7 linked regions of the Rattus norvegicus genome follow. The protein of the gene in region 1 interacts with the protein of each later gene in a biochemical or structural test. Links are inferred from orthologs where the notes say so. Each region holds a gene or a part of one and is shown on either strand. Other genes may lie near its edges.

What was found.
Region 2: the proteins of Lrrk1 (region 1) and Plk1 form a complex in vitro, tested with the Homo sapiens proteins (2 studies listed by BioGRID, with this or other methods). The link is inferred for Rattus norvegicus from reciprocal best matches to the Homo sapiens genes LRRK1 and PLK1.
Region 3: the proteins of Lrrk1 (region 1) and Cwc15 form a complex in vitro, tested with the Homo sapiens proteins (2 studies listed by BioGRID and IntAct, with this or other methods). The link is inferred for Rattus norvegicus from reciprocal best matches to the Homo sapiens genes LRRK1 and CWC15.
Region 4: the proteins of Lrrk1 (region 1) and Stub1 form a complex in vitro, tested with the Homo sapiens proteins (2 studies listed by BioGRID and IntAct, with this or other methods). The link is inferred for Rattus norvegicus from reciprocal best matches to the Homo sapiens genes LRRK1 and STUB1.
Region 5: the proteins of Lrrk1 (region 1) and Matk form a complex in vitro, tested with the Homo sapiens proteins (2 studies listed by BioGRID and IntAct, with this or other methods). The link is inferred for Rattus norvegicus from reciprocal best matches to the Homo sapiens genes LRRK1 and MATK.
Region 6: the proteins of Lrrk1 (region 1) and Cd2bp2 form a complex in vitro, tested with the Homo sapiens proteins (2 studies listed by BioGRID and IntAct, with this or other methods). The link is inferred for Rattus norvegicus from reciprocal best matches to the Homo sapiens genes LRRK1 and CD2BP2.
Region 7: the proteins of Lrrk1 (region 1) and Nudt16l1 form a complex in vitro, tested with the Homo sapiens proteins (2 studies listed by BioGRID and IntAct, with this or other methods). The link is inferred for Rattus norvegicus from reciprocal best matches to the Homo sapiens genes LRRK1 and NUDT16L1.

What each region holds. Positions count from the first base shown.
Region 1 is NC_086019.1:129,264,631-129,268,130, forward strand, and holds part of Lrrk1 (leucine-rich repeat serine/threonine-protein kinase 1), read right to left. Parts: intron 3,133-3,500; coding exon of another isoform or gene 3,080-3,132; exon of another isoform or gene 2,989-3,079; intron 2,972-2,988; coding exon 2,694-2,971; intron 1,615-2,693; coding exon 1,420-1,614; coding exon of another isoform or gene 1,358-1,419; intron 577-1,357; coding exon 425-576; exon of another isoform or gene 1-424.
Region 2 is NC_086019.1:186,146,366-186,150,457, forward strand, and holds the start of Plk1 (serine/threonine-protein kinase PLK1), read left to right. Parts: upstream 1-1,292; 5' UTR 1,293-1,376; coding exon 1,377-1,784; intron 1,785-2,332; coding exon 2,333-2,501; intron 2,502-3,246; coding exon 3,247-3,391; intron 3,392-4,032; coding exon 4,033-4,092. UniProt on the Homo sapiens protein: Serine/threonine-protein kinase that performs several important functions throughout M phase of the cell cycle, including the regulation of centrosome maturation and spindle assembly, the removal of cohesins from chromosome arms, the inactivation of anaphase-promoting complex/cyclosome (APC/C) inhibitors, and the regulation of mitotic exit and cytokinesis.
Region 3 is NC_086026.1:19,585,718-19,589,715, reverse strand, and holds the start of Cwc15 (spliceosome-associated protein CWC15 homolog), read right to left. Parts: upstream 2,801-3,998; 5' UTR 2,679-2,800; exon of another isoform or gene 2,510-2,678; intron 1,469-2,509; exon of another isoform or gene 1,464-1,468; 5' UTR 1,461-1,463; coding exon 1,330-1,460; intron 827-1,329; coding exon 714-826; intron 181-713; coding exon 92-180; intron 1-91. UniProt on the Homo sapiens protein: Involved in pre-mRNA splicing as component of the spliceosome. Component of the PRP19-CDC5L complex that forms an integral part of the spliceosome and is required for activating pre-mRNA splicing.
Region 4 is NC_086028.1:15,354,778-15,359,032, forward strand, and holds Stub1 (E3 ubiquitin-protein ligase CHIP), read right to left. Parts: upstream 2,783-4,255; 5' UTR 2,680-2,782; coding exon 2,518-2,679; intron 2,097-2,517; coding exon 1,898-2,096; intron 1,815-1,897; coding exon 1,649-1,814; intron 1,616-1,648; exon of another isoform or gene 1,484-1,615; coding exon 1,396-1,483; exon of another isoform or gene 1,213-1,395; coding exon 1,156-1,212; exon of another isoform or gene 1,070-1,155; coding exon 953-1,069; exon of another isoform or gene 875-952; coding exon 749-874; 3' UTR 501-748; downstream 1-500. Other genes in the region: Jmjd8 (jmjC domain-containing protein 8), read left to right, coding at 16-83, 163-297, 376-456. UniProt on the Homo sapiens protein: E3 ubiquitin-protein ligase which targets misfolded chaperone substrates towards proteasomal degradation.
Region 5 is NC_086025.1:9,109,947-9,114,246, forward strand, and holds the start of Matk (megakaryocyte-associated tyrosine-protein kinase), read right to left. Parts: upstream 2,801-4,300; 5' UTR 2,750-2,800; intron 2,713-2,749; exon of another isoform or gene 2,424-2,712; intron 2,245-2,423; 5' UTR 2,194-2,244; coding exon 2,185-2,193; intron 1,636-2,184; coding exon 1,522-1,635; intron 1,427-1,521; coding exon 1,311-1,426; intron 1,225-1,310; coding exon 1,005-1,224; intron 745-1,004; coding exon 651-744; intron 1-650.
Region 6 is NC_086019.1:191,241,092-191,245,252, forward strand, and holds the start of Cd2bp2 (CD2 antigen cytoplasmic tail-binding protein 2), read right to left. Parts: upstream 2,801-4,161; 5' UTR 2,789-2,800; exon of another isoform or gene 2,775-2,788; intron 2,742-2,774; exon of another isoform or gene 2,703-2,741; intron 2,309-2,702; exon of another isoform or gene 2,303-2,308; 5' UTR 2,280-2,302; coding exon 2,202-2,279; intron 2,001-2,201; exon of another isoform or gene 1,999-2,000; coding exon 1,866-1,998; intron 1,744-1,865; coding exon 1,586-1,743; intron 1,481-1,585; coding exon 1,045-1,480; intron 971-1,044; coding exon 864-970; coding exon of another isoform or gene 789-863; coding exon 678-788; 3' UTR 1-677. UniProt on the Homo sapiens protein: Involved in pre-mRNA splicing as component of the U5 snRNP complex that is involved in spliceosome assembly.
Region 7 is NC_086028.1:11,142,126-11,146,042, forward strand, and holds Nudt16l1 (tudor-interacting repair regulator protein), read right to left. Parts: upstream 2,418-3,917; 5' UTR 2,405-2,417; coding exon 2,252-2,404; exon of another isoform or gene 2,171-2,251; coding exon 1,910-2,170; exon of another isoform or gene 1,338-1,909; coding exon 1,116-1,337; 3' UTR 501-1,115; downstream 1-500. UniProt on the Homo sapiens protein: Key regulator of TP53BP1 required to stabilize TP53BP1 and regulate its recruitment to chromatin.

The sequences.
Region 1 (3,500 bases):
GAATTGGAAATATGAATTTATTTCCCCTCTGTCCATGTCTACCCACTGACAACCTAAGATCATAAGATCCATGCAAACTTCAGAGTCCGTTCTGCTGACCCCACTCTATTCAAGTCTCACGCCATCTCAGTCTTCCCGGACTGTAAGGCCTGTAAATGCTCTCCACTGGGACCACCTAGACTACACTAACGTGCAAAGCTCTCCTGTCAGGGGAAGGAGGGGTAGCATGCGCTGGACAACCCCACAGGCCATCACCCAAGACCTCTATTCCATGGAGACTCCATCTCTGGCCTCTCTCCTTACCAGGCCCTGCCTCTGGGTCTCAGGAATTCTTTCCCCCTCCCAGGGGGTCTTCCCTACACTCTACAGCAGTTCCCAGTGACACCTGAGGCATACGTAGTGAAGTACAGACTGAAAAGATTACCTTGACTCCTCCTTCCCATCCCAGAACACCACAGTGTACTCCTGGCTCTGGGATGAGAAGAAGGACGACTGCTTCCCACAGGGCAGCATGTACATGAAGGTGGCGAAGGTTGGGTCTTTCATCTGGCTCACCACAGACAGGGCCAGGGGACGCTGTGGGAGAAAAGTCTATAGTGAGCACAGCTGTGTGGGTCCCCATACAGGGCCACCTGGCACAAGCCAGGGCAGTGTGTGACTCCTCCCACTTGGGGATTAGCCTAACACAAGACTGAAAAGGCTTCAGAACACCCTCCCCCACTCCAAAAATAAATAAATAAATAAATAAATAAATAAATAAATAAATAAATAAATAAAAGCCCGTCACAGCCTCTGGGTCATCATGGCCACAGTAATAAGCTCAGGTGCTCTGGAGTCAAAGGCCCGTTGTGTCCTACCTTAAGTCCAGGGACATAAACTCTTGAAAGGGATCTGTCTCAGATTCTATTCATAATGTATTAATTAATTATCTGATTTGATGGACAAGTGCTAAACTTGAAATTAGAGGCCTCTTCTAACAAACAAGGAACTCTCTTTGAAAATGTAATATAGGCCCAGCTTCTCGTGAGCAAACTTTCCAAAGAGATATGGTCCGTCCCTCTGACTTTACATGGGGACTGCATTACTACAATGCATTTAATATGCGAATTGAGCGAAACTCAAAACGTTCAGATCTCAGAGCATATTAGAGTTTGGATTTTTGGATTGGGTATATTCAACTAACATGGAAATATTCTAAAAATCTGAAAAACTCCAAAATTTGAAATACTTCTAGTCCTGCATATACATATTGTAGAGAAAAAGAAAGGTAACTTTCCTACAGACAGACGACAGGCAGGCATGCACGCATGCACGCACACACACACACACACACACACACACACACACACACACACACCTTGGAGTCCCACAGCCCCTACCAGGGGAAGGCAGGCCCACGTTCCGCTCTGCTCTGTGTACCTTCTCCGGCTTCGTGTCCCAGCACTCCATCATGAGCGCCTGCAGTCGATAGAATTGCACTTCCTCTGGCTGCCCCAGCACTGGGCGGATGCCCTTGGACAACTTCTTGACAATCTGAAGTTGGTGGTGGCCCAGCGCAGGACGCTGTCCTGAGAGCAGCTCATACAGCACCATGCCATAGGAGAACATGTCTACCTGGGCAGGAGGGCAAGCCAAGTTAGGTCTCCTGCCTGGGTTCAGCAACCTCAGAAAGCTGGCCCCGAGGAGGAGGAAGGAATGGGAAGGCACAACCAGGAAACACGGGCTCTCCCCAGTCCAATCTACCTACCCGATGTCCACACACCCACAGTCCTCTGACCGCCATCTTCCCATGCATTTATCTGTCCATTTATCCTTTCTTCTCTCTGTGTTACTTATGTATTCTCCCATCCATCCATTTGTCCATCCACACGACAGCCATACACACAGAAATTGTTAACTACCAGGTGCCAACTAAGGGCTCCGAAGCCAAGACCCCAGAGGGCTATATAAGAAATTCATTAAAAAGGGGGTGTCTCACGTGTTTTCTCATTCTAATTGTCATTAAAAAATCCAGCAAGGAGAGAGTTGTGCAGACCTCATGTAAGTCAGGGAACATCTTTCATAAGAGAATGTCTGAGATGGAGTGGGCAGGGTTTTGTTTTTGTTTTTTAAGATTTATTATGTACAGTGTTCTGTCTGTATATATGCTTGCATGCCAGAAGAGGGTGCCAGATCTTGTTACAGATGGTTAAGAGCCACCATGTGGTTGCTGGGATTTGAACTCAGGACCCCTGGAAGAGCACTCAGTGTTCTCAACTTCTGAGTCATCTCTCGGGCCTGGAGGCAGCAATTTTTAATGTGATTGTTTCTATCATAGCCTCTGTGTTCAGTGAACATGTTGCCCGGGTCTCCAAGCAAGCAATACGCATGCGCACACACACATGCACACACACATGCACATGCATGCACACACACACACACACAGATACACACACACACACACACACACACACACACATACACAAACTAAAATATACCTCTAAAGCTAAGGGCAGAGGTCAATCTGTTAACAAACAGGCAGACATGGACCCTGGTACCTTCTGGTCAGAGCTCGAATCCCCCTCACTGAGAGAGGAAAACACTCTGGAGAAGGTGAGCCCAGAGCCCCAGGACTGTGTGTCTGACTTCTCACTGGTCCTGCGCTCCTGCTCTGCATGGCTGGCTTGGGGGTGACAGTGGGGACAGGCAGATACCTTCTCGTCATACACAATGCGAGGCCTGATCTCTGGAGCCTGGTAGCCTGGGGTGCCCTCCACACCCAGGGCCCCCTCGTGAAAGGACTGCCTCGAGATGCCGTAGTCTGACAGTTTGATGTTGATGAGCTCCTTGACGCTCAGTGACCACACCAGGATGTTGTCTGACTTGAGGTCACAGAAGATGATGTTCTTCTTGTGCAGGTAGGCCAGGCCCGAGGCAATCTGGTAGGCTATTTTTTGGGTGAGCATGTGTCCCAGGGGCATAAAGGAAGAATCTTGGGAAGAAAGCAGTACTTATGTTCAAATCTATCAACTTTAAGATGGAATCAGATTAACATTCTAGACGCTGTCCTTCATTCTTCCCCTGCTTCCTTTACTTCAGCTTAGATGGGGTTGCTTGGTTGGCTTGTACGGCACCGTTGGGAGGCGATGGGACCTTTAAGAAGTGGGGACCTGTTTTATGTCAACTTGACACAAACTAGACAATTTGGAGGACAGAACCTAACCTGAGAAAATGAACCCCCTCCCCACTACCCTGTGGGCAAGCCTGTGGTACATTTTCTAGATTAATGATTGACGGGGGAGGGCCCAGCCCACTCTAGGCTGTTTCACCCCAGGCAGGTAGTCCTGGGTTGTATAGGAGAGCAGGCTGGGCAAGCCCACAAGGAGTGTTCCTCCACCGTCTCTGCATCAGTTCCTGTCTCTAGCTTCCTGCCTTGGCTTCCATAAGATGACGTATCACAAGCTGGAGGCTTCGTACTGCTTTGGTTATGGTGTTTTAGCAACAGAAGCCCTAACTAAGAC
Region 2 (4,092 bases), about 57 Mb from region 1:
CTTTCACATGGGAAGTGAATCTATATAACAGGGATGCTACATTCTGCCCCATCTCCATCCCAAGCTGTTGCTACTGGCTACCTGTTTATGGTAATAGCACTTCTGGCTGGGACTAAAGGTGTGTGCCCACACCTGGGAAGTTTAAGTTTTTGGAGACAAAGCTTGGGCTTATTCAGAAAGCATTTAGTACAATCGTTTGCAAGGCACTGGGAAAGACAGCAGCACTGCCGTTTTTGCTCAATCCAGCAATAGGATCTTGCTAAGACCCTCCTGGGGAACTAGAGGAACACAGCTTCTAACGGAAGGTATCACTAAAGTGCCCACAGAAACCAGCAGGCAAGTGGGCAAAGAAGATGTCTGGGAATAGTGGCCAGAGTTGACTTTTTTTTTTTTTTCCAGGAAAAGCCACACACCTGCTCTGTGTGGCCACTCTTTTTACATGTTGTAAATCCATTTATTTTCTAAATGAAGGCCGAACTGAACACTTCTGCAGGGCCGACTTGGGTCTAACCACCACCCCCACCTCTGACTAAAAGTTGTCTCTATTTGGGGCTTTGGGCCACACAGCTGAGGACAAGCTTGTATCCCAGGGCGGACGTCTGGTGTTTCTTACATGTCATCTGAATCATCTGAAAGTCTTGTTTGACTGGCAGGTCATGCCTGGAAAGTTTCTTTCCTTTGGGGTTAGCGGAGAGGTAGCTGAAGCTGACCTAGGCTAATCTGTAGTCTTGAACCCACGCCTCTCCTTTGCCTTCCTCGGTAATTCCCAGGTGCTGCAGATGCTACTGGCCCCTGGGTTGTTCAGACGAAGGCTTGAGCTACATTTCAGGGGCTGAGAGCTACTGCCACAGAGGCTGCCGGTCGGTTGCGCTGTGAAGGTGCATCTGCCTGCTAGTCGTGCCAGTGGTGGCGGTGCACTCCCAAGCTACCTCTTGACCTGGAGTTTCAGTTCTAGAAGGCCAGGTCGGGCGGAGGAAGGTGTTAGATCTTAATAGTTAGGAGAAGCCTCTGGAGGAGGCGCAGGTGAACCACATGAGCACGCCCCGGCCGAGGAGCAGAAAGCAGGACCGAATCCTGTTCTCCTAGGGATCTCTACCTAGTTCATTCGTTCCTGGTTTCCCAGGCAATCTAGAGTGCACTCTATCCTCCAGTACAAATTTCTCGCCCGCAAGATCGGGGTTTAAAGGCGGCTGCGCCGTAGAGCACTCCCATGGTGCCGCGCGCTGGGCGGGTTTGTATTTTAAATCCCCGCGGCCAATCAGCAACGCGCAGGCCCTTGTAACGTTCCCAGCGCTGCGTTTGAATTCGGGGAGGAGCGGAGCAGAGCAGGATCCTCTGCACCTACCCGGCCAGGTCCGTGGAGCAACATCGGCATCATGAATGCAGCGGCCAAAGCTGGAAAGCTGGCTCGAGCACCAGCCGACCTAGGGAAAGGTGGGGTCCCGGGAGACGCAGCTCCCGGTGCCCCAGGGGCCGCCCCGCTGGCGAAAGAGATTCCGGAGGTCCTGATGGATCCACGCAGCCGGCGGCAGTATGTACGGGGCCGCTTTCTGGGTAAAGGAGGCTTCGCCAAATGCTTCGAAATCTCAGACTCAGACACAAAAGAGGTGTTCGCAGGCAAGATCGTGCCTAAGTCTTTGCTGCTCAAGCCCCATCAGAAGGAGAAAATGTCTATGGAGATCTCCATTCACCGCAGCCTCGCACACCAGCACGTCGTAGGCTTCCATGGCTTTTTTGAGGACAGCGACTTTGTGTTCGTGGTTTTGGAGCTCTGTCGCAGGAGGGTAAGTGTTTCTGGGGCTCCTACACCTGGAACTTGCTGGCAAAGTGGCACCGAGGTTTTGGAGTGGCCTAGAGGAGTGTTTGGGTTTTATTTAAGCTGTTATGGAAAGGCTTCTAGCGACGGTACTTGGCACTCCGGATCCTGTTGCTATTAGTGAAGGGGCTCCTAGACGCAAGGCTGTGAGTGGGTACAGGAAATGGATGCGTAAATTGGCTAAGGAAGGGTTCCAGGCTTGAGGTGCCGAGGATCTCGAACTTCCGGAGTGAGGCAAGGTCGGGGGAGGGGGCGGCTGTTTGGAGTCAGACCTTAGAGCTTTCAGGAAAGGGAGGGGATCTCCTGCCAGGAGGAAGCCCTGGGATAGGGGATCGAGAGTGGGGTTGAGAGAAGACTCTGTATAAGGGCACTAGTTAAGAGGGTCCGGTGAATGATAGTGACGAGTTTATGGGCAGAGCTATCAGAAACCTGCCAAAACTCTCCACTCCGAGCGCCTAGTTGGCCATATTAAGCTGGCCACCCTACTTGGGCCTCAGTGACCTCTTTCCTCCTCAGTCTCTCCTGGAGCTGCACAAAAGGAGGAAGGCGCTGACCGAGCCCGAGGCCCGATACTACCTGCGGCAGATAGTCCTGGGTTGCCAGTACCTGCACCGCAATCAAGTCATTCACAGGGACCTCAAACTGGGCAACCTCTTTCTGAATGAGGATCTGGAGGTGAAAATAGGTGAGGTGCTGGGCCTGCGGGTGCCTGTGCCAGCCAGCACAAGAGTCGGGAAGGAGGGGAAGGCTGGGAGGAGGGAAAGAGAAGTGCTGCCCTCTGGAAAGGAAATGGAGGGGGGTGTTGCCTTTTTTAGATACATTGCTGTGCCTCAACTCAGTAGTTTTGAACTTGGGGTGCCTCCCCAAATACTCTTTATCCCCTAGCATTGAGCCAGACCCTCAGCCAATTTCTTTTTTAAACAGGAGATGGGGGACATAAGCTATAGGGCATGGCAGGCGGTATCTCCTCAGCTGTCCCCTTGAGTCTGACTTGCCAGTCCCTAGATCCCTGTCACTTCTTCACACACTTGCTCAGCAGCAATCACGAGATCACTTACTTGATTCTCCAGTGCATTTAACTTTATTTATATGAGGGATGGAGACAGGTTAACTTCAAGGAGTCCGTTCTCTCTTCCACTGTGTGGGTTCCAGGATCCTGACTCAGGTCATCATCAGCCTTGGCGGCAAGCCCCTTTACCTCCTGAGCCATGTTACCTAACCTTAACCCTGCTATCTAAAGAGGGGTTAAAGGGCAGTGGGAGGCCAGCTAGGGCCAGTACAGTGTGTGTGTGTGGGGGGGGGGGGGTGTTCCGGGACTATGGGGGTCTCAAGCCACTAAGTTGTCAATGCTCAGGCTTGAAACAGCTGTTTGCAACCTTAGACAGCTGATCTAAGTAGCTGAGCACCCTCTCTTCTTCCCTCTGTCCCAGGGGATTTTGGCCTGGCAACAAAAGTGGAATATGAAGGGGAACGGAAGAAGACCCTGTGTGGCACTCCTAACTACATAGCTCCCGAGGTGCTGAGCAAGAAGGGACACAGCTTTGAGGTGGACGTGTGGTCCATTGGGTGCATCATGTAAGTTGGCAATGAACTTGGGCTTCTGGGCCTCAGCAGGAGTCTCTGGGGCATCTCACCCAGTTGACCTTACCAAGTGGATCTTTCTACCTTACAGAAAGGCTGTTTTAGAGGACAGGCTGCCCCACATGAAACCCTGGTTTTCATGTCAGTCTGGCATAGGCTGTGGGGATCCCTGTAACTTGGACTTGTTTAAAAGCAGTCATAGACCAAAATCATCAACACCTGAGAGCTTGTTAGGAATTCAGAATCTGAGATCTGAACCTGGGTTTAATACAATCCCTGCCTGATTTTCCATGAAAATCAGGAAGCCCTGCTGAGTGCTGATGGGAGAGTTAGGCCAGCAGATAGTCTGGTGGTAAGCAGAACCCCCACCATGGTGGCCTCTGGAACCCTTGGAGAGTCCTCTGTCACTGCAGGCCAGAGCCAGGCAATCCCTGACACCTCGGAATCCAGGTGTTTTCACTTGCATTCTTCCTAGTGCTTGCCCAGCCTTTGGTTGCTGGGCAGACTTGGAGAGCATCCCATCCTTTCCCAGTCAGTGAATCCAGCACAGCTTCCCCAACTCTGGTCCCAAGACAATGACTTCTACATTTGGATTTTCCTTGGAGTTTGAACAGAATTCCTCCTTGTATCCCCAGGTATACCTTGCTGGTGGGCAAGCCACCTTTTGAGACCTCATGCCTAAAAGAGACCTACCT
Region 3 (3,998 bases), on another chromosome or scaffold:
GGCAGAGGCCCACAGTTCCAGCACTGAGGCGGCTTGAAACAAGCAAACAAATAAACACAAGCTAACCCAAACCCAAACCTAAAACACGTACATCTGTGAGAGGATCGTCAGCATCAAGGTTGGCAGCAGGAATCTGGTCTAAGCGGGGCTTCTTGGACACCGAAGAGGAAGTTGTGTGTTCTGAAGAAAACAAACATTTAGCATATTGAAGTACATACTGGATTTTAAGTAACATTTTAGAAACCTTTGGGCAAAAAGAATCCACACAAAGCACAGTGACAGCAGGGACCCACCCTGTGACGGGCAAGTAAGTCTCTGATAAATACTTGTTGGTTAACATGGGGTGAATTAGTGAGCACGCAGATCACAGCGTCTCAGGAGACTAGCCAATGCTCACATGTGGTAGAAACATAAAAAGGGTAACTGATGCTTCTCTCAAAACTCATCAATTACATGGGGAGTCCCAGACAGAAGGCCTCGGGCGGGTTCCAGCTGCTGTAAAGTCAAAGTCTACTGACAGGAACTGAAAAATGGTTTTAAACACTTCAGGTCACCATGTCTTCAGTACCAATGCATGACAAGATGGGACTGGAATAAACCTCATTATTGTCTCTTATCAAAGAGGTATAGCTCACAACAATGTTAATTGTTTCCAATCACCAGGAAACAGTTTGCATCACATAACTATGTGACACACGAGGGACAGCAGATACCTCGGGTTGGACGGTCCCTATTTTTCTCCCTTGCAGCAGCTCTCTCCCTCTCTTCCAACTCTCTCCTGAAGTCACGGTTGCGAACCTCTTCAGGGGCATCCTGTGTGGTTTGTCTTAAGTAGAAAAACAAAACAAGCCAAAACAGGTCAAAAATGTTGCCCCCAGTTGTCAAGGAAAAGAACCTATATGGCTATAGCAACTTGAGACAATTCAGAATGTAAGTGTCAATCAAGAACAAAACGGAAGAGGACAATATCCCAATCAGAGTGCTATTAATACACTCGTGGGGTTCCGTATCACACAACTTCCTACAGCAGGACGTCTCTTGAAAACAGTCCTCCACTCAGGGCTGTTACAGCAACTCCCATACTCACTCAGAAGACTGAGCTGGTTATCATGACTAGTGAGGGCTTCATCCACACCAGCAATCCCTGCTCAATAGGAACTTATGCTGAAAGACCGTAGAGCACTTTACAACTACAGCAAATAATTGTATTGTAAACTTTTTGAAAGCCTTTTCTTGGAAGATCGGTAACTTAAATACTATTAATTTAGACATGATCATAAGTCATGGTTGGTTCCATTCTGTGAACAGGACAAATGAAAGGCTTCTTACCTGTACTTTATCTTTGTATGAGAGGGAAGGTCTCTGCTTGAATACTGCTTGGAGAGCTGGCTCAAATCACCTTCTCCTTTTCCTCTCCCACCTCTTGCAGGTTCAAAAGTTGGCCTGGCTGCTGTTGTCATCTTCTATTCTTTGACAAACATGGGTTTAATTATACTTTCATTTTATAGATCATTCATAATTACCTGTCCTTAAATCATTCTCAAAACTCTCCCCAGAACTGCTTAAGTAGTTTGCTTCAGTACAAGTCTCTAAAGAGCAGAATCATGAAATTCAGGGTGTTTACTAGATATGCACTGCCAGGCAGCTCTTATTTGATATAAATAACTACTCTGAAGGTCTGAGTCTGTGCTTCTGTTTTAGCTGGGTAGCCCTGCGCAAGTCTCCTAGCTTGATTCTATCACTTGTGGAATGTTGATACTTCTATAGAATTATTATGAGATTTCTGACACGTGATGTCAGATCTTGGACAACAGTGTAGTGTGGCTTTTAAAATAAATGACTTAAATTTTTTTTTTATATCCCACTAGCACTAGGTTCTCTGAGATTTTGTTTTATTTATTTTTTATGATAGGATCTCACAATGTATTTCTGGCTGAATTAGAATTCACAATGCAGATCAAGCTGGCCTAGGACTCTCCAGAGATCTACCAGACTGCCTCTGCACTGCTGGAATTGTCCGGCCAAGATTTGCATTTTTATCAGAAACCTCACACTACAGCAAATGGACCAATAAAAAACAAATTTCTTTTAAAGTTACAGGCAAACTTATTGAGTGTCTTAGAGTTTGTTTAAAACCCAATGACATTTACACTGGCAACATTACCCCAGAATCTTGTTGATTCAATTTCCCTCTAAAGCAGTTACCGCAACATTCGTAAAGCTTTGGTAGGCTGTAACTTAACGCAATCCTAAGAAAATCGGAACTCCACTCAACCAAACATCAAGAACTGGGCATGACTGGGTACTACTCCTGTGATTCCAGAGCTTGGGGGGTGAGAGCAATAGAATCGGGAGTTCCAAGCTAGCCTAGGCTACCAGAGAACCTTTTGCAATTTTTAGCTGTCAAATAAGAATTCCAGCCTAACTACAGGGCTACTAAATCTCCGTTAGCTTAAGCAGCATGCTCAGACAGACCGTGTGGGACGTGGGAGTTTCTACCCCATCCTACCCTCCTTTGCTTTTCTCAGTGTCAGCGGTGCCGCGCCGGTGACCGCCCCGAGCTCGGCTGCAGCTCCCGACCGCCATTCCAGCACCGCGGCCCGGACGATAGTCACGGCTCTCCGACTCCCCGGTGCGGCCCGCACAGGGACCACAAACCACTATGCCCTGCTACTCACTGTGGCGGGGGTTCGACGCAGTGCCTTCAGAAGCTCACTCACGAACCATTGCGACCCTTAACTCCCAGAAATCTCTGCGCAAAACCGGAAGCAAAATGCAGAACTTCCAGTCTCTACACCTGGGACTCAACTAAGACCCGGAAGCAAAATCTTCGCGCTCCCAACGGCTGTGTAGAAGACGCGAACTCCACACCCGGAAGCAAATCCCGAGTTGGTTTTTTTTTTTTTTTTTTTTTTTTTTTTTTTTTTTTAACCGTCTTTTAGAGGCTGACCCAGTGACCAATCCGCAGAGACACGGGAAAAAGATGGAGTGACGTCGCCTAGGGGCGGAGCCAAGGCTGCTTAGGGGGCGGGCGTTTGAAACCGGTGCTTCATAGTCGACCCCAAATATCATCTTGTGCCTTTGAGAACCAATTACTTAATCTCTCTTGCGTCTTTTCCTTTCCCGACCCCCTCCCAGACTCTTTCGCTGCGGTTCTGCGAGGACGGAAGGCGCCAGGAGCCGGTCCGCGTCTCGCAAGCGTTGAGATCTGAGGAGAGCTTGCCAACTGACCGACCCAACGGCTCCTGCTCCTCAGTAGACCCCGCAGCCTAGGGACTAGAGTTGTCACTTAAGTGGATATGAAGAAGGCGCAAATAAGTACGGGGGCAGCCACGAGCTTTCCAAAGGTACCATTCCTGCGAAACCACTGGCCTTGAAGGCAGGGGTTATAGTCGCATTGCTTGTTAAGATATATAAATATATATATATATATACATAGCTATATGCATTAAGCGTTGTAGTGTGAGAGGAGATGCCGTGAGCGTTTACGATAGTGAGAATTTATGGAACAGTGGGCCTAACTGCCAGGAGGAGCACGAGATGGGTAAGATGGCTTCGCCAACGTTGTCTTGGTGTCCATCATTGAGATTTTGGGGACGGCCAATGCTCGATAAAGAGAATTCTGTTCTCCAGTTTATCTCAAGTGGAAGGATCTCCTAAAACTGAACATTTCAGTTCTTCCCTGACCTTCCTTTGGAACTTTTAAATGAAGAAAGAGAATTATAAAAGAACCCCCCCCCAATGTGCCTCCCCTGAAAGTAGAAGGTGAAAAGCTTCGTTTCTTTCTTTTTTTTTTTTTTTTTTTAATTTATGGAAGGTGTGCACCTCTCTCAGCCTCACACAAAGGACGCTGCTATCATATTAGTGGCTCCAACCCAAAGCTGGAGACCCTCTACCTTCCCTCATCACATCCTGTTCACTTGCCATGCTTGCCCAGTATTGTGAAAATTACCCTGAGCTTCCCTTCCCTGTTACTAACCCTCAATTCAGGCCACTGG
Region 4 (4,255 bases), on another chromosome or scaffold:
CAACTGACCCCACAGGAGCTGGATCTGGGGTACCCTTCCACTGGCATGGGCCTGGTTTCTCAGAGGTTATCTATGGTCGGAAGGTCAGTGCAAGGGTGGGGCATGAATTTGGTGTTTGTAGTCCATAGCACATGAGAGTGACCTTAACATTCCTGCCTCCAGCGCTGGTTCCTCTACCCTCCTGAGAAGACACCTGAGTTCCACCCTAACAAGACCACGTTGGCCTGGCTCCTGGAAATATACCCATCTCTAGCCCCATCAGCTCGGCCTCTAGAATGTACCATCCAGGCTGGTGAAGTCAGTAGCTGGTAGGTGGGGGTTGGGCTAACCCAAAAACTAGGGAATCAGACTATTTTTCCGTGCCCCTTCTCCCAGGCGCTGTACTTTCCTGATCGGTGGTGGCATGCCACACTCAATCTGGACACCAGTGTCTTCATATCCACTTTCCTTGGCTAGCCAACAAGCGACTGGCAAGCCCACTGCACCAGCACATGCCAATGTAGTGCTCACAGACTTTATTACAGGACAGTGGCAGCAGCAGCAGCAACCCACCCTCACCAGCTCTCCAGCCCAGAAGGGAGACAAGGGAGGCTCATGGCCCAGCAAGGGATATGCTGAGAAGGGGAGCAGTTCAGAACCCATCATCAGGACCGATGGGGGCAGGCCCAGGGACACAAACTATATACAGGGACTGGAGCTTCTGCCTCCAGACCCTCCTGGGCCAGGGTGCCAGGCAGGACATGGGGTATCAGTAGTCCTCTACCCAGCCATTCTCAGAGATGAAAGCATCAATGACTTCCTTCATGGCTAAGTTGGGGATGAGCTGTTCCTGGGTCAGAGGGCTCCGGGTCACAGGATCGAAATGGCCCACGCGCTGCAACGACAGAGTCAAGAGTATTCAATGGCCTGAGTGTCCCCTGATCCCAGTCCCGAGACCACAGGCCCTCCTTACCTGCAGGTGCTCCTCAATGTCCTTGCGGTCATAGGTGATGCCACTGGGTGTAATGCAGGGTTCCCGCATCAGCTCAAAGCTGATCTTGCCACACAAGTAGTCAGGGATATCTCGCTTCTGCAGCACAAGAGGGAAATGTCTGCAACTGGAAAGGAAGTCACCATACCAGAGCCTGCCCATGAGCTTCAAGGCTCCGTCCTTACCTTTCTTTTCTCATCCACCTGAGAGAAGAGCTCATTCATGTCCGCCATGTATTTATCCTGCAGAGTTGAGCGCCATGTGTGGGCAACTCCTGTCTCCTCCACACAGACACACACACTCTGTCCACCGGGGCACTCATGTCATGCATGGGCCAACAGAGCCACCATAGGCTGGGGCACTTCTCATGCCACACACAAAAACACACACACAACGACCCACATGTGGACTAGGGGCACCCTCACGTGCTTGGCCTCAATGCAGGCCTGCTGGGCCCTGATGTGGCCATCATCCTCATCACCCTCGTGGTTCCGCTGACACTCTTCCAGTTCCCTGAGGGTCAAGAAAAAGCCAGCTGGTGATGGCCCCAACAGGGAAATGACAGATCCCTTCCCATCTCAGGCCTCTTTCCTCCCGGGCTTCCCATGTACCGGCTGCTGTCCTTTAATAAACACTTGCACTGTTGACTCGGTGTTAACTGTTGGGGGCGGGACCCACCTCTCTCGCTCAGCAGCAATGAGCCTGGTGAGATAGGAGTGCAGCTCACTCTCCTGGTGGATGCGCCGTTCCTCGATACTGTTCCAGCGCTTCTTCTTAGCAATGCGAAGGGCACTAGGAATATCATCCCCAAAGTTGAGTCGCTGCTCCTTGGCCAAACTATAGGCTGGGGGAGTGGACACTTTAGGTTACACTTGTCAACAATCCTGGCCCCAAAGGTGCCCACAATCTGGCATCTTGTCAGCCCACCTCGCTGCAGATTGGCAATGGCCTCATCATAACTCTCCATCTCTAGCTGGCACTGCCCCAGGAAGAAGTGCGCCTTCACAGACTGCCCATCCAGCTCCAGGGCTCTCCGGCAGTCAGCAAGTGCCTGTTCAGGCTGCTGCATCTTCAGATAGCACAGGGCCCGGTTGGTGTAGTACACTGCCACAAGTGGGTTCCGGGTCTGGGAACCAAGATCAGGTGACAAAGAATGTGGGCTCATCTGATCCCCTCTCTAATAGCAAGCTGAAAGCCAATGATCCGGACAATTCTCCAGCATTGGGGGCCCATGGGTGGAAGAGAGGAACTGGAGATTTCCGAGTTATCAGAGCTCTGGATTCTAGCCATGCTCTCTTGCCTCCAACTGTTTTTGAGAAAAATCCCAGAACCCCTCCACCAGCTTTAGGCTTGGGAGCCTCAAGGGGCAAGAATTTCTGGTGTCATCCTTAGCTTGCCTCAATCAAGCATCCCGCCCGCCAGTCCCCAGTCAATCTGCCCTGGATTCGGGAACAGCAATCCGGGTCTAGGCTGCCAGAAATCGTCCGGGAATCACAGAACTGGGAGGCACATCGGGCCCCGCCCCCGCCCCCGCCCCCCGCACTCACGATGGCGCGGCCGTAGCAGGCCGCCGCCTCCGGGTACTTGCGGCCCACGAAGAGCCGGTTTCCCTGCTCCTTGAGCTCTTGCGCACTCGGGCTCTTATCAGGGCTGCCGCCGCCACCAGTGCCCAGCCGCGCGCCGCCCTCCTTTTCCTCCTTGCCCTTCATGGCGCCGCGCGGCACGGCTTGGGCTCCGCGCCCGGCCACCTAGATCTCGCAGCCCGCGCAGCTATCAGCTCCGCCCGGTCGGCGATCCGCCACCGGAACTTCCGGTGTGGGGCGGGGCTGGCATGGGGACACGTGAGCAAAGGCGGAGCCTCGCGGATTGAGCGGGTTCGCTTAGCCCGGAGAAGCTACCGCTGCGCTCTCTACCGGCCCCGCCCTACAGTAACTAGGACCTACCCTCAATATTCAGACCAAGGCTCCGCCCATTGGCAGTCAAGCCCCACCCTCCGGCCCACGCCACGCGAACGTGGCAGCGGTCCGTGCTGGAGAAGTGGCGCTCCGAGGGCCGGTCACTAGGCCCAGGTCCTAGCGCGCCACCGGGGCGCACGCGGGCTCATGCGGCAGCCTGGGAACGTCTAGACCGCTGGTAGGACGGCGGAATTGAGGGAAGGAGAGAGGCCCGCAGGTCAGACCACCCTCGAGAGGCTTCCTCGGGAATCGGGAGAAGCTGCCTGCGGCCATTACTGGCTGAGAAACAAGCACGTGACGCGTTGACTCGAAAGGACCTGCTGCGGTTGCTATAGAGGTAGCTGCGGGTCCGCGGCTGGACGCTCCCCTTCTGCGGTCATGGGGCGGAGCTTCTTCAAGGGCGGTGCCAGCAGGTTTCCGTGGAGAGAGCCTGCACCAAGACCCTTTGACCCCAGGTCTGTAGATGAGGCATTTTTAGCCGCTGCTGCATCAGCTGTTGGCCGCTAACATCCCCCACCCGGGACTTGGAGAAGCAAAACTCGGCTTTCTGCCGATCTGTGCGCCGCAGTCAAACTTCGCTGCGTGGTTTCTGCCACTGCCTCGAGTGAGTAGGGAGCATCTTTGCACAAGTTGGGTGGGGGCTCTAGGAACTCAAAAAAAAAATGTCCCCAGAACCTCCTTGTCACTCTTTGCAGTGGCTACAGTTCCTGGCTTGCTAACGCTGCAGCATACACTCAAGTACTACTTGCTGTTTCTAGCCCAGGTGCAAGAGCTCACTGCATTTCTGAGCAGGGGCCTGAGGGGTCACCCAGGACCCCATCATGGTTCCGATGGTTAGTAACTCGACCCCAGAACTCTTGTAGATCTCTAGTGCCTTAGAGCTGTCTGTAGACGCTTCATCTTGTGAAGAGAGCACTGCAAACTTGGACTATGGGCAGATGTATGCCCAGACCTGCTGCCTGAACTTCACCCCAACTGGTTCTCCCATAAGGACTATAGACCTGCCAAGAATTACAGGACCCAGGCCAAGTGAACCTGGCTCTGTCTCGGGCTTGCCTTTGGAAGGGAGGCTGCAAGAACCGGGATTGGAAGCTCTTGGAGCACAATAAACGACTGCTGAACTTGGACTGACCCGGAAGTCCACAGTCTCTTCCCAGGGGCCCCACCTCCTGTGGATTCCGTCCCTGGCCAGGAGTGAAGCCACCACCTCATGCAGGTGCAGAGCTTCAGGGGAGAGAGAGGAAGCACAGACCCTGGAGGGGGGGCGTCTCATACAGCCTGGGTGAGGGGGCAGACAAGCCTGCAGAGCCCCAGGACAGCTACCTGGTGC
Region 5 (4,300 bases), on another chromosome or scaffold:
CAGCTTGCATTCAGTGAGACTTGGAGAGCTGACATCCATCCCCACAGCTGTGCACACCTGAGCATGTGCCTGCCCCAGCAGCTGCACTAAGGCTGTCTGAAGGACACCCCACTCCTGGTACCGTTTAAATCCTGCAAGCCAGAGCTGCCCTGGCTTCCATCAGAGTACAATCCCCCTAGGTCTCCTAGGTCCCCTAGACATGAGCCATGGCTCCAGGACCTCCCTCTGGGGACAAGAAGTGTGGCTGCCCTTGTGGCCTTCCATGCCTCTGGGAGGACCTTTTTTCCCCTTGCTGATCCACACAGAATAAAAGTTCTAGAATCTTCCAGGGCTGTAGTCTCCCTAATCTTGTACTCTGCACAGACCTGCAGTTGTCTCTGAAAGCCCTCCCTTTTTCCCTCCTTCCCTCCCTCTCAAAGACCTCTAGCCCCCACCCTGCCCCCACGCTGAAAATTCAAACGCGACAGACAGCTCTCTCCACTGTGATTTTTGTCTCTGGGACTCCAGACCCCACTGGAAAAGTGTGACAGGGTTGCAAGGTGCAAGGGCTTAACCAAGCCAGGGCTGGGGCATGAGGGTGGGAGTCCGGGAGGTGGGAGTCTCCCTGGTGTGCACGCAGAAGCTACCTATCGCAGGAGCAGTGCTCATACCCTTGGCGAGCTCTTCCTCTGCGGACTTTGCGCCCTGTTTCCTCTTGGGCTTCACCAGCTTGGTGCAGATGGCGCCCTTGTCCCTGGTGTAGTGCTGTGGAAGCCGGCGGCCATGAGCCTCTGGCTCTCAGATCCCATTTCCACTACCCCCAACCCAAACTCCATGAGGTTGGCAGACTCCCCTGAGTGCCAGGCTAAGGTGAGCACGTTCCCATGGCAACAGTGTGGGGTGTTAGAATGGAAGCTGAGGGCGCCCTGGGGAGGTGACCCCAGTTCTAAAGACAGAAATGACAGCTGCTGGGGCCCACCATCCACATTTCCACCCCTCCCGCCCCAGCCTCCCCCACAGGTCACCTCTACCATGTCCATCAGATTACAGAAACACACGGCCTCATCAATGGTGAGGTGCCCATCTCGATGCAAGACACGGTAGTGGATGACATCACGGCCGAAACTGACACACAGGACATAGTCACCAGGGTGACGGGCCGATTCCCTCACGAGGAACAGCCCATCCTCGGGTGGCTGCAGCTGCTGTATGGCTTCCTGACCGGAAATCTTGCCATGGAACCATCTGTGGGGATGTGTGGGGAGGGTGCTGTGTGAGGCCACCGTGGAAGGTGGCTGGGGCCTTCATGCCACCCCCAGGGTGTCACTCACGGCATGAGGCTGAGCTTGGGGTCTGTGGAAAGGGCCTCCCTCTGTCGCAGAGCAGCAGCCGCCAGCAGCCCTTCCTGCCCACTGCTGTGGTGCTTGGCTCGGTACCAGCTCTTGTCCTGCACAGGAAGGGGACAGGTGGAGGGAAGGAGCCAGTGGATGTCTGCCCTGGCGCCCCTAAGGCACACCACCTACCCTCCAGCCCCCCTCTCACCTCACAGGCCTCCAAGATGGTCACCATGTCACCCTTTCGAAAGGCTAGCTCACCGGGCTTGGGGCGTGAGTTCTCGCACTTGGTCATACATTGAGTCCCAGGGGCCCAGCGTTGCTGGGAAGGAGACAGAGGCGGGGGGTGGGGTGGGGATAGGGGGATGTCAGGGACCTACTGCGGGACAAGTGGGAAACCTGAGAGACCTGAAAAAAAGCTGGGGCTGGTGGGGACAGAAGACAGGACAAGGGAACAGTGAAGACACAAGCCTGTAGGAAGCTATCAAGTGGCTCAGGCAGGAGGAGTTCCAGACCAGCTAAAGGACAGCCTGGGCTACAGTGAGACTTGGTCTCAAAAACTAACGGAAGATGCCTGGCGTGGTGATGGACACTTGTAATCCTAGAATCAGGGTGGGTTGGGGGATGACAGGGCAGGGGTAAGTGAACCTCTGTGAGTTTGAGACTAGCCTGGGCTACGCATCAAATCCCAAGCACACCTACATACTGAGACCCTGTCTCAGAAGTCAAATAAGATAAAGGGAAGTCTGGGGAAGGAAGGGAGGGCGTAGGGAAACAGCCACAGAGGCCAGTATGGCGGGGTCCTTGGGGACTGTAGGGGGCATGTCCTATTCTCCCCAAAAGGTCCGGTGACTCAGGGCCCCACACTCACCGTTGGCATCTTAGCTGCAGCAGGCGTGGGGTGCCAAGCTCCTTAGAATTGAGGGTTCACCTGTGAAGGGAGGCAGTCTCATGCTGGGAGTGTCCCCAGGTCCAGTTCCTTCCTCAGGGTCTGGCCTGGCCTGGCGGAGGTAGCAGCCAGGAAGCAAAGTGCCTCCCTCAGATCACCGCTTGGATAGCTTAGGTGTGGAGCCCCTCTGCAGCCCTTGGCTTTAGGGAAGTGATCTTTACCCGAGGAAGATCCTTAGACTCCCGGCCACCAAAGGCCAGCCAGGAGACTCGGGAACCTCGCCCTGCCTTTGCTCGGGAAGGGAAACTGAGGTAGGAGTGGAGTGCTCTGGTGTCCCGAGTGGAAGCCAGGGCCGTGTGTGAGGAAGAGCTGGGCCTGTGGCTTCCTCTTTCCTGGGCTGTGGGCAGAGGCGGTGGGCAGGGGCCGTGACTCAAGGTCATTCTTGAAAATCTGACCCTGAGCGGAGCCTGGAGAGGCCGGATTCCTGTAAGGCTCCAGGCTCCTTAGGTCACCACGGGTCACTAAAGAAACATCTGAGAGGACCCACCCCATCCCAGTGCGGCACCGCAGGACTGTGGCTGCCTGGGTCCCTGGCTGGTGGCTGGCAGGGGGCAGGGCGGGAGGTTGGGGTGCGCTCCTGGCCTCGGGCTCAATGGGGTTTGCACGGCAGCCGCGCAGGCGGAGGCGCACGTGCATCCAGGCACAGGTGCCACCAGCCACCCCCGTGTGCGCCACACGGGCGCCAGCGAGACCCGTGCACCTGTGCGCGTGCCTCAGGCGCACAAGGGCTTTGCAGTGACCACCGGGGCTCGCGCACTCAGAGACGCGCACGCCGCACCCAGGAAAAACAAAATAAAACAAAAAAACCAGCCCGTTGCACCCGACGCTCCTGGGTCCAGGACCGTTTCGAAGTGGTGTCCCCTTTCCACCCACGCACACGCGCTCACCTGCTTAGGGCGCGACCCCTGGAGGGTCCCTGCCAGCCGGCCGAGCGCCCTGGTGGCTCAACTCCGAGCAACTTGCAAGGCTTCCTCATTTTGGGGCAAGGATGGAGGGGACCGGCTCGGAGCCCCTGCGGGTCCTAGCGCCGGCCTCTCTACGGCCGCGCTGCCACCTCCTCCCGCTCCTCCTCCCACTCCGTCCGGGCGGGGTGCTGCTGAGTGCCGGGTGCTCTCGGGTCCCCGCTGAGTCCTAGCCTTCCGTTGCCCACCCCGGGAAAGCTGGGAGCTTGGAACGGCTCGGGCACGCGCAGATGCTATGAGTAGGAAAGAGCTCCCTGTCTGGGGAGGCGAACAAGGCAGGCTGCAGCCTGGTCAGTCTGTACTTTCAGAAACATCAGCCAGTCTGCTGTGGAGCACTCCCAGCACTCGGGAAGCAGAGGCAGGAGGATCTCTGTGAGCTGGAGCCTAGCCTGGGCTACAATAGAGAGCTACCTAGTGAGACCTTGCCTCAAAAAAAAAAAATAAAGCAAATAAAACCTAACTAATTAATTAAGCACAAGTTTGGACAGAGGTGCCTGGCCCCGGTGGACATGACACTCCGAGAAGCCACACCAGAAGCTATAAGTCCCCAGGCAGGTACCACTTAGGAATCCTTGGCCAGGGAGGCCCAGAGACTTGGAGCAAGGCTGGCTGAAGTTCCACTTTTCACTACCCCTATTGCTGATGACAGTGTCTGAGTCACAGCCTCCCTCCCTGCTGCAGTCAGCCTACCGCAGTGCCCACCACCCACACTGCAGGGGCAGATGCCCCACTACAGGGGACAGTAGTGACCCAAGTGTTCTGCAGTGATCAGCTGCTGTCTGACTGGACCTGGCTCGCCTGTGAGACCTCCTGCTGTTGTCTTACCAGTGCACCTTGTGCACAAGTTTGTTCTACATGTACTACTACTATTTGCCTACAGTTAACAAAGATCCAAAAGTGGGGTCTGGGACGGGGACTCAGTGGGTGGCACACCGGTGTCACAGGCCTGTCATCTCAGCACTGGAGAGGTAGAAGCAGAAGGATCAGGAGTCATCCTCAGCAACATAGTCAATTTAAGGCCAGCCTGGGCTACCTGGGAGCCCGTTGGAAAGAAGAAGCTTGAGAAGCGGGTGTTG
Region 6 (4,161 bases), about 62 Mb from region 1:
GCTTATGCCAAGAAAGGTCAGGGAATAGGTGAATGGGCCACCTCTCTAGTTTACTGTGAGGTCTCCAGTAAGTCCCTGCCCTTTGCCCCTCGCTGTATCACATGGTGGCCCAAGTAACCTTGAAGTGCTACCAAGTTCATACTTCACCTAAGAGCTATGGAAACTACTGCAGGAGGGTGAGGGGTAGTAAAACCAGACTAGGGAGAAGGGGAGAATCCATGTTTAAGAGGATCTCCCAATAGGATTTCAAAGTCTTCCTAATGTCCCAGCTACAAAGGAGCTGCCAGGGCAGAGAATGTGAGGTCCTAAAAGCCAAGATCAGCATGACAGAGAACAGAGTGATAGAGGGAATTTTACACAGGACACCTGATGGGCCCTCCCTCTGCCTCCAAGGTGGGAAACAAAACGGAGGTGGTCCAAGACACCAGAGAAGCATGAGAGGAAGTCTCTTGGGAGGAAACTCAAGGACCCACCAGGTGAAGCCAAAAGGAGCTATGGAGAAGCCTTGGCTTTTGGCCATTAGCCCAGTCAAGGCCCTGATGCATACTCAAGGCTTTTATTGACAAAGAGACACTGGCTTTAGAGTGGCCTCCAATATCCTCACTGCCCAGGGCAGTTGGGACCTCCTCTGCCAAGTTCAAGAAAGAAGGGGCTGCCAAACGGGGCCCTTAGCGGGCTCATGTGTAGAGATCAAAATCAATGCGCTTGGAATTGTAGAACTGACCGCCTGGAGGGTCCAGCTTCCGGCAATAAACACCATCCGGGAAGTAACCTTCGCTCACCCAGGTCTGTAAGAACAGAGGACAAAACTGAGGCAAGATGACAGAAGCTGGGGTGGACAGCCAGGGCGGGAAGGGGCTTACCTGCATCTGGGCACTGGTAAAGGGTCCGTACAGCTCAGCATCCCCCGTGTTCTCCCATTTATACTCCCACATCACATCCATCAGACCATCTCCAGCTGAATCTGCTTCTAAAACAATGAAGAAACTTGGGCCTCAAGCACCCGGTCTCCTGCCCACACTGCCCCTCTTGTGCCCTTCTTACCTTCTCTATGGGTAGGGGTTGGAGTTTCCAGTTCCCCCTCTGTTACTTCCTCAGCAAACATGTCCAGGGAGGGTGGAGGTGTGGGGTCATGGGATCCCTGGGTCCGACACCCCAAACCCTTCAGTCGCATAGCCAAACGCTCCCTTGTTTCCTGGTATACACCAAGGTTGCCTCGAGCCACCATTTGATCAGCCAACCCAGATAGCCGGTCTAGACGCTGGGGAGAATTGGGCCGTCCAGTCCCCTTGCTGTTCCCTTTGCCTCCTCCTCGGGCCCCCAGACGCCTAAGTGCCCCAGCCACTGTCTCTCTTGGCAGTAACAACTCCAGAAGTCCCTCCAGGAGGGCTTGGACACTCATTGGAGTCTGACCCAGGCTGCCTTCCTCCTCTGAGTCCGAAACCTGCTGCTTATCAGGTGGCCGTTCCTTGATCCTCACCTATAAGTGAAAGATAGTTATCGTTTCTTACAAACTCCACCAGGACCCAGGCCCAGCACCAGCATTCCCAGGCTGAGCTCAGCCAGGACAGATCCTGGGCCACACCCAGTCAATGTTGTCCAGCCAGCTGTCTCGGATCTGCGAATCCTGGTTCAGGAAATAGTTGCCATCTGCATCAAAGTGGCCTTCCTCCATCTCCTCCTGCAGGTTGAAGGGTGTGATCCTCACACCCCCCTCACTAGGGAGAGTAGCTGCTTCCTGACCTGCACCAAAGACATGGGGGGCCCCATGCTAGACATGCAAAAAAGAAACAGGCAGTACACCTCCCACCTCCCTACTTAAAACCTGTCCCTCCAACACAGTTAATGCTTTGGAAATAGCTCACCTTCGACATCCTCTGAGGCCAGGATATCGTATTTGCTGGACCCCTCGTCATCATCCTCTTCATCACTGTCTAAAGAGTGTTTGCCTTTGAAGCGGCTCCCAGGACCACCTGCTCCAGCCACAGGGTCCACCAGCTATGAGTAGGACGAAGTAAATGAGAAAGGAAGACTGGCTAGTTCCTCGAATATTCCAGGATCTGTACATAAACTCGAATCCTTCCAAACCCAGTGACTGGGAAAAACTAACCCTTCCTTGGCTTCCAGCTTTTCTCCCGTTGGACTGCTCCCTCTCCTTTCCCCTTAGGCCTCCATAGAACTTAGAGATCTGGCCATCTCACCTTCTTTTTGGGAACACTGATTTCATCTTCATCATCCTCATCTCCAACACCCTGAAAAGTCACTTTCCTCTTTGGCATGATTGGCAATAGATTTCCTCCAGCTGGACCTCGGGAAAAGATAGGAAGTGAGGAAATTAAGTAACAAGAGAGGGCCGCGAGAGTGTACAGGCTCCACAAAGATTTTTCCTGGTAAATTTGAGAGAGGACCGATCACTAAACCATCTGAAAGAACTAGCAGGTACGACGTCCGGAATTGATTTGGCAATGCAGGGGCCCAAAAGGGAGAACATGTGAAGGATCTCCGCCCCCGCGTGGACCCTGTGGGTACTCCCACCTAGGTGTGTGGGAGGGTAGGGAGCAGGTTCCCCCCACGTCATCACTTCCCTACCAGTCCGAAGCTACAGAGCTCAACCACCTCTCCCACCCGAGTGCCCTCAGAGGCCGGTCGGACGCAAGAGCTGGCGCCTTAGTAGCCTCGGAACCCGAATTCCACATAGCGACCTGCTCGGCCATGTCCAACTCGGCGTAGAAGCTAGAAGCGAGGCAAAGCCGCAGGGATTCAAACAATCTTACCCGCTGACGCTCACCTAGGAATCCAGGGTCAGACGGGAAAGAAAAGGAAAGATGCTTTCGCCGGTATTACATCCGGGGCATCCGCCTCCATCACCCGGAAAAAGACTGTGAAGACTGCCATAGGACCCGGAAGTGGCTTCACTTCTATCCAAAAGACTGGCAGAACGGGCGGATGTATCCCTTTAGCCAAGGCCGACTCTCCGCAGGAAGTAACGTAAGACCTGCAAAGACTCGCGTGAACTCCGTACTTGCCTCACGGGATTTGAAGATGGCGGGAAATGTTTTATTATTCCTCTGCAATGGAGGAGACGGTGAAGACGTGGCGTTCTGTTTGCTAAAAGAGGTTCCCAAGGCCCGGTTGGAGGGACACAGACCGAACAGGGGCCTTGGGTTTCAGTTTGCATTTATGGATAGGATTATGTACGCCTAATGGCATTCAGTAGAAACTCGGGTTTCCGAGTTTAACGCAATCCCAACACTCAGGAAATTGAAACAGGATTGTCGCGAGATTGATGCCAGTCTGCGATACAACATGAGACCATTTATTTTTTTTTAAATCTTTTTCTCCCTGAGTCCTGCTTCTGGTTGTAAGCACTCGGGCACTTTCCAAACCAAATCCTTTTAGAACCCAGGAAGTCATTTGCACCATGTCTATTCCCCCACTTAGTTCCTAGTTTCTGTAGTGGGACAGCCGTCGCAGGAGGTGGCGCTGGCATTGGTGCTGAGTAATTAGGCAGAAGCCCATGGTGCCCTGCTCTCAGGTGTAGGTCCCAAAAAAGCTCTTGAATTAGTTACAAGATGAAGCCTACCCCGACCCCTTAGCAAACTGTCAAGGTGCTGAAATTCAGCTCCTGCAAAGGTGGGACCAGTGAGATCTAACTTAATAGTGAGGTTTAGATCTGGAGCTCTGGGAAAAAACTCAAAACCTGAACACCTCTGCCCCACCCCCACCCTCAGGCTAGATAGCTCAGGTGATCCTACTAGAGCTGGAAGAGGGTGGCCAAACGGACACCACCTTTCTCCTCCAGGGTTTTCTCCCATTCTGAATCACTGTGAAACTTCATTGAAGGTGTGATCTTAGTTTCTTCTGTAGGTAAAAGAAACACAAGTCCTACACCAAGAGAGCATCTTGCTATAGACAGGACCCTGAAAAAACACCAGCTCTCAGCACTACTGGTTCATCTGGAAGGAATTTTCTCTTCTACCTGGAGACCACACCCTGATCCTCATCCTGAAGAAGATCTGCCAAGTGGAACTCTTGCTTTATGGCCACAAAAGCTTTATCAGAAGACTTTATCATCCTGACCCAGACTGGAGGGCAAAAAGCTTGCCACAGAAAACAAGAGCTGGACAATTTGGTTGTGTGCACCTGCTGGGATGAACCAAA
Region 7 (3,917 bases), on another chromosome or scaffold:
CAGACCAGGCAGGGCCGTATGGAGAGGCTAAGTCCTGCACATGTAGGGGCCACACTGAAGTCTGATTTTACAGTCGAAGTCTGGGGTGCCTAGAAAATGTACTCTTTGAAAATAAAATTAGACGCAAGTTGGTGGGAGCTCATTTCTGATCACATGACATATTCCTTACTGCCACCAAAAGATCTATCACCCTTGCTCTAGGGTTTCTCCTGTTTCTAAGCCCTAAAGTGGAGCTGGCACACATCCTTCCTTACCCAGTTGGTTTTGAGCTGTGGGGATTCTCCAGCCTTCCCAGTGTTTGTGCGCCAGGCTGTAGGACTGCTGCAGTGTCAGTCCTGTCCCATGGTGGCATGCTGTTGTCCCTCTGCATACTAGGTCTGTGCCTTCAGCTCCACCATCACCACTACATGAGCTCAGTTCAAGCTGCCACCCAGATTGATTTTGGTCCTGGGCCCAACCTTCCACCTCAGAAAGATGGCCATGCCACTCAGAAGCAGACATGAGCATCAGAGGAATGGCTTTATTGTCTTCTTTCTTCCTCAGTTTCACAGAGCCAAGTCAAAGCCCTCATGGGGAAAACAAAGCCATATGGGGCACAGCCATTCTGAAACCAACCCACAGTTCATACACCAAGGAAAAAAACCCAACAGAAATCCAACAACCACCCAAGCATCATCCTACCCCAAGCTGGACCGGGTTCTGGGCTAAGGGAAGGAAGGGCTGATCTAATATGGGTCCTCTCTACTGAACAAAACCCACAACCAGTCCAGGATCTGGGTACCATCCGAGTGGTTGCCTGGGAAGAATGGCTCTAGCTGGGGCTCCACCAGTCATGAACAGACTCACGGCACAGTTTGAGCCCTGGGATGGGTGAGAAGAACATCTTCAGCTTGAAAAGCTGGGCCCGGGCCCAGGCCCAGCCCACTGACCAACCTGAGAGAGGGTGGCTGGGTCCCAGGGACTGCTTGGGACAACAATGATGAACAGCTGCCTGCTTGTCCCTTGCAGTAGAAGGGATGCAAAACCAAACACACTAGAAGGCACGCTTCTCGGGAATTCCAGGGCCTGTGGGCAGAGACAGCCAAGGGAGGGCAGGGACCTGCACAGGAACCACCTCAGGATGAGGCCGGGAGCAGCTTCTCTAGGGCCTTCTTCTGCTTCTCCGTGGCTGAGGCCAAGGCCTCGGCCAGCTTTTCCGAGGGCATCATGTTGAGTACCTTAAGGGCAAATAGGAGCTGATATTTGGCAGTGCTGACGAAGGCGTTGCTCAGAAAGTTAGGGAAGCCTCCTACTCGATCCTTCTGTGTGTACAGTGGGACACGTACAAGGCCCAGGACCTGCGGGACAGAGGGCACGGGTGGGGCTGGGCTCTCCTGTAGAGGCAGGACTCTGGCAGAAAGGCCTGTCAGCCACCAGTTTGCCAGAGACAGGGAGACCCAGGCCCGGTCTGGCCAGGCATTGCTAATGCAGTAAAGCCCCTTCTCCCCAAGTTTCAAGGCCAATCCTACGCACTCCCCACCCTGTCTGGCTGCAACTCCCATGATCACTAGTTTCACTCTATGCCCTTTAGACCAGAGAATCCTCAAATCCCCAAATTTCCTCAGGAGGTAATCCTAAACGCTACAATCCGGTTTTTGTTTTGTTTGTTTTTTGTTTTGTCTGTTCTCAATTTTCCAAGCAGGCCCTGATCATCCCTTCCAGTGACCCCAAGCCCCACTCCCAGGATTGACAATGGCAGGCAACAAGGCAATGTAAACAGCCCATGACCCAGATCCCAAGTCCCTCTTCCCATCCAACAAAGCCAGGGTGAGGACCCTGAGGGGCACTTGTTACCCATTGGTGCCTTCTGTGGTGCCAGAGCCAAACCTCAGGAGTGGGAACGGGGGCGGGCCCCAGGCAGTAGTCCCACCTCCAAACCGTGGTCCCGCGAGTGCACAGCGCTGATCTCCACAGCATGCAGCTGTTCCAGCGTCAGCTGCCGTGCGTACAGGTGTGCCACCACACGGTGTGGACCCTCAGTCAGGTGTGAACTCAGGTAGTCAGCTTCAGTAAGGCGTAGGCCGCCCAGGCCCAGACCCAGGACCCGGTTCAAGCCATCCTCCAGTGACCAGAAGCGGCGGTCCACGAAACCCCCGGGAAAGCCCAGCAGCCCATCGAAGCGCATCTGCATCTGCAAGGTAAGCCTGGTCAGGACGCGGGGTCCACTGGGTGTCCCAAGCGATCCGCCCTGCTAGCCCGCCCGGCTCCTCACCAGTACTGAGAAACGCATGGGGATACGGCCGAAAAGTTGCCCGGGGTTGGCAGCGTACAGCATGGCGTGGCATGAATGGCTCCAGCCGGGCCCCAAGCGCATTGCTTCCTCCCGACTGATCTGCTTCAGCTCCGGAACCGTCGTGGTCGACATCTTGATGTGCTCCAGGCCCACTGCCCAAATGAGCATGCGCGACCCCGCCCACGACACATAGGCCCAATCCACGTGCTTCCACGTGCATAAGCCCGCCCCCACCAGCCCTGAGACTGGTGTTGAATCCAGCAAAGACTCGAGCTCTTGGTGGAGGCGGGGTGGGGGTGGGGTTATGTAGTTAGCTACTCTCCTTTACATAGGAGACCCCCCACGACTACCAGAAGACTACGGCTCCCAAGATGCACAGCACCGAGGCCAGGTTGTCCTAGGGAGGTACACTGATCATCAAGATGTGCCAGTCTCAAGTCCCAAACGTCATTGAGAGTGCAGCTGGAAATCTCAATATCCACCTCATCCATGATCTTTCCCTGAGGCTCGACCCGGAGCTTGTGACTCCACTGCCCTGTGAAATCATGCCTTTAAAGACTTAAGCATCTAAGTGACTCCAGCTCAAGTGATGGGTCCCCCTTGTCATAGGCTTTGCCCTCTGGTACATTGATTAGTACTCGGTAGACATCACAAGAGCTGGGGTGGGTATAAGAACTAGGACCATCTGCCCACCTGGAGGCTGAGATCCAGCAATTGCTCCGTGGAGGTGAGCCAAATTCTATGTCAGCTTCAGACAGAGCGAGCAACAAAACAAGCACAATGACCGTTGTCTGTGTGTGGAGGGGCTGCTCACTGCCCCTCTCACAGAAGCAAATGAAGGCAGCACCAAAACCTGTCAGCCAGTGTCCTGTCAGTACACCGAGAGCCAACAGTGCTGCCTACAGTGCTGTGGCAGAACAAAGGCGCACATAGAATATTGCTGCATGATTTTATTACTATAAATATACAGTAAAAATGAACCCAAACTAGCCAATCAGTACATCAAATGATAGTACATGTGAATCTGAGACAGGTAAGTGTGGAGTCTGCATCCCATCTTTCAAAGTACTGGCACCAGGCGCCAGGGTGTTGGCAGGTGAGAAGTGAGGGGTGGGCATGCACATGCTGACATGTGTGCACATATGTGCATTCAGAGAGAGAGAGAGAGAGAGAGAGAGAGAGAGAGAGAGAGAGAGAGAAAATACGGATGGATATGCAGACAGAACTGTGCTTACAGGCTTACCAGAGACCAGGCCAGTCACTGCTAGGAAGGAGCAGGGGGAGAGCCAGAGCTCAAGCAACCCTGAGCCTAAAGGGGTCTCCATGCATTGCTACAGGCTGTCACCTGGGTGAGTGGCAGGGCAGCTCCTTGGGCTGACTTCCCTCTCTAACTGACCAGGGAGCTGCATTGCCTGGGGCATCTCTGCCCTGGGGCCACCCTTGGGCTACTTCTGCCTTAGAAACCAAGTGACCCTAGGATCCTGTGACAGAAGCCTCAGACAATAAATCGGTAAGAAAGTAAAAGGACAGGTAACTGGCAATGGATGTGCTGTGGAAGCTGCTCAGGCTCGTCCCTGGCAGGTGGTGGGCAGTGTTGCCCTGCAAGCACAAGCATCTCCATCTTGGAGGCCTGTGAGGATGTGAG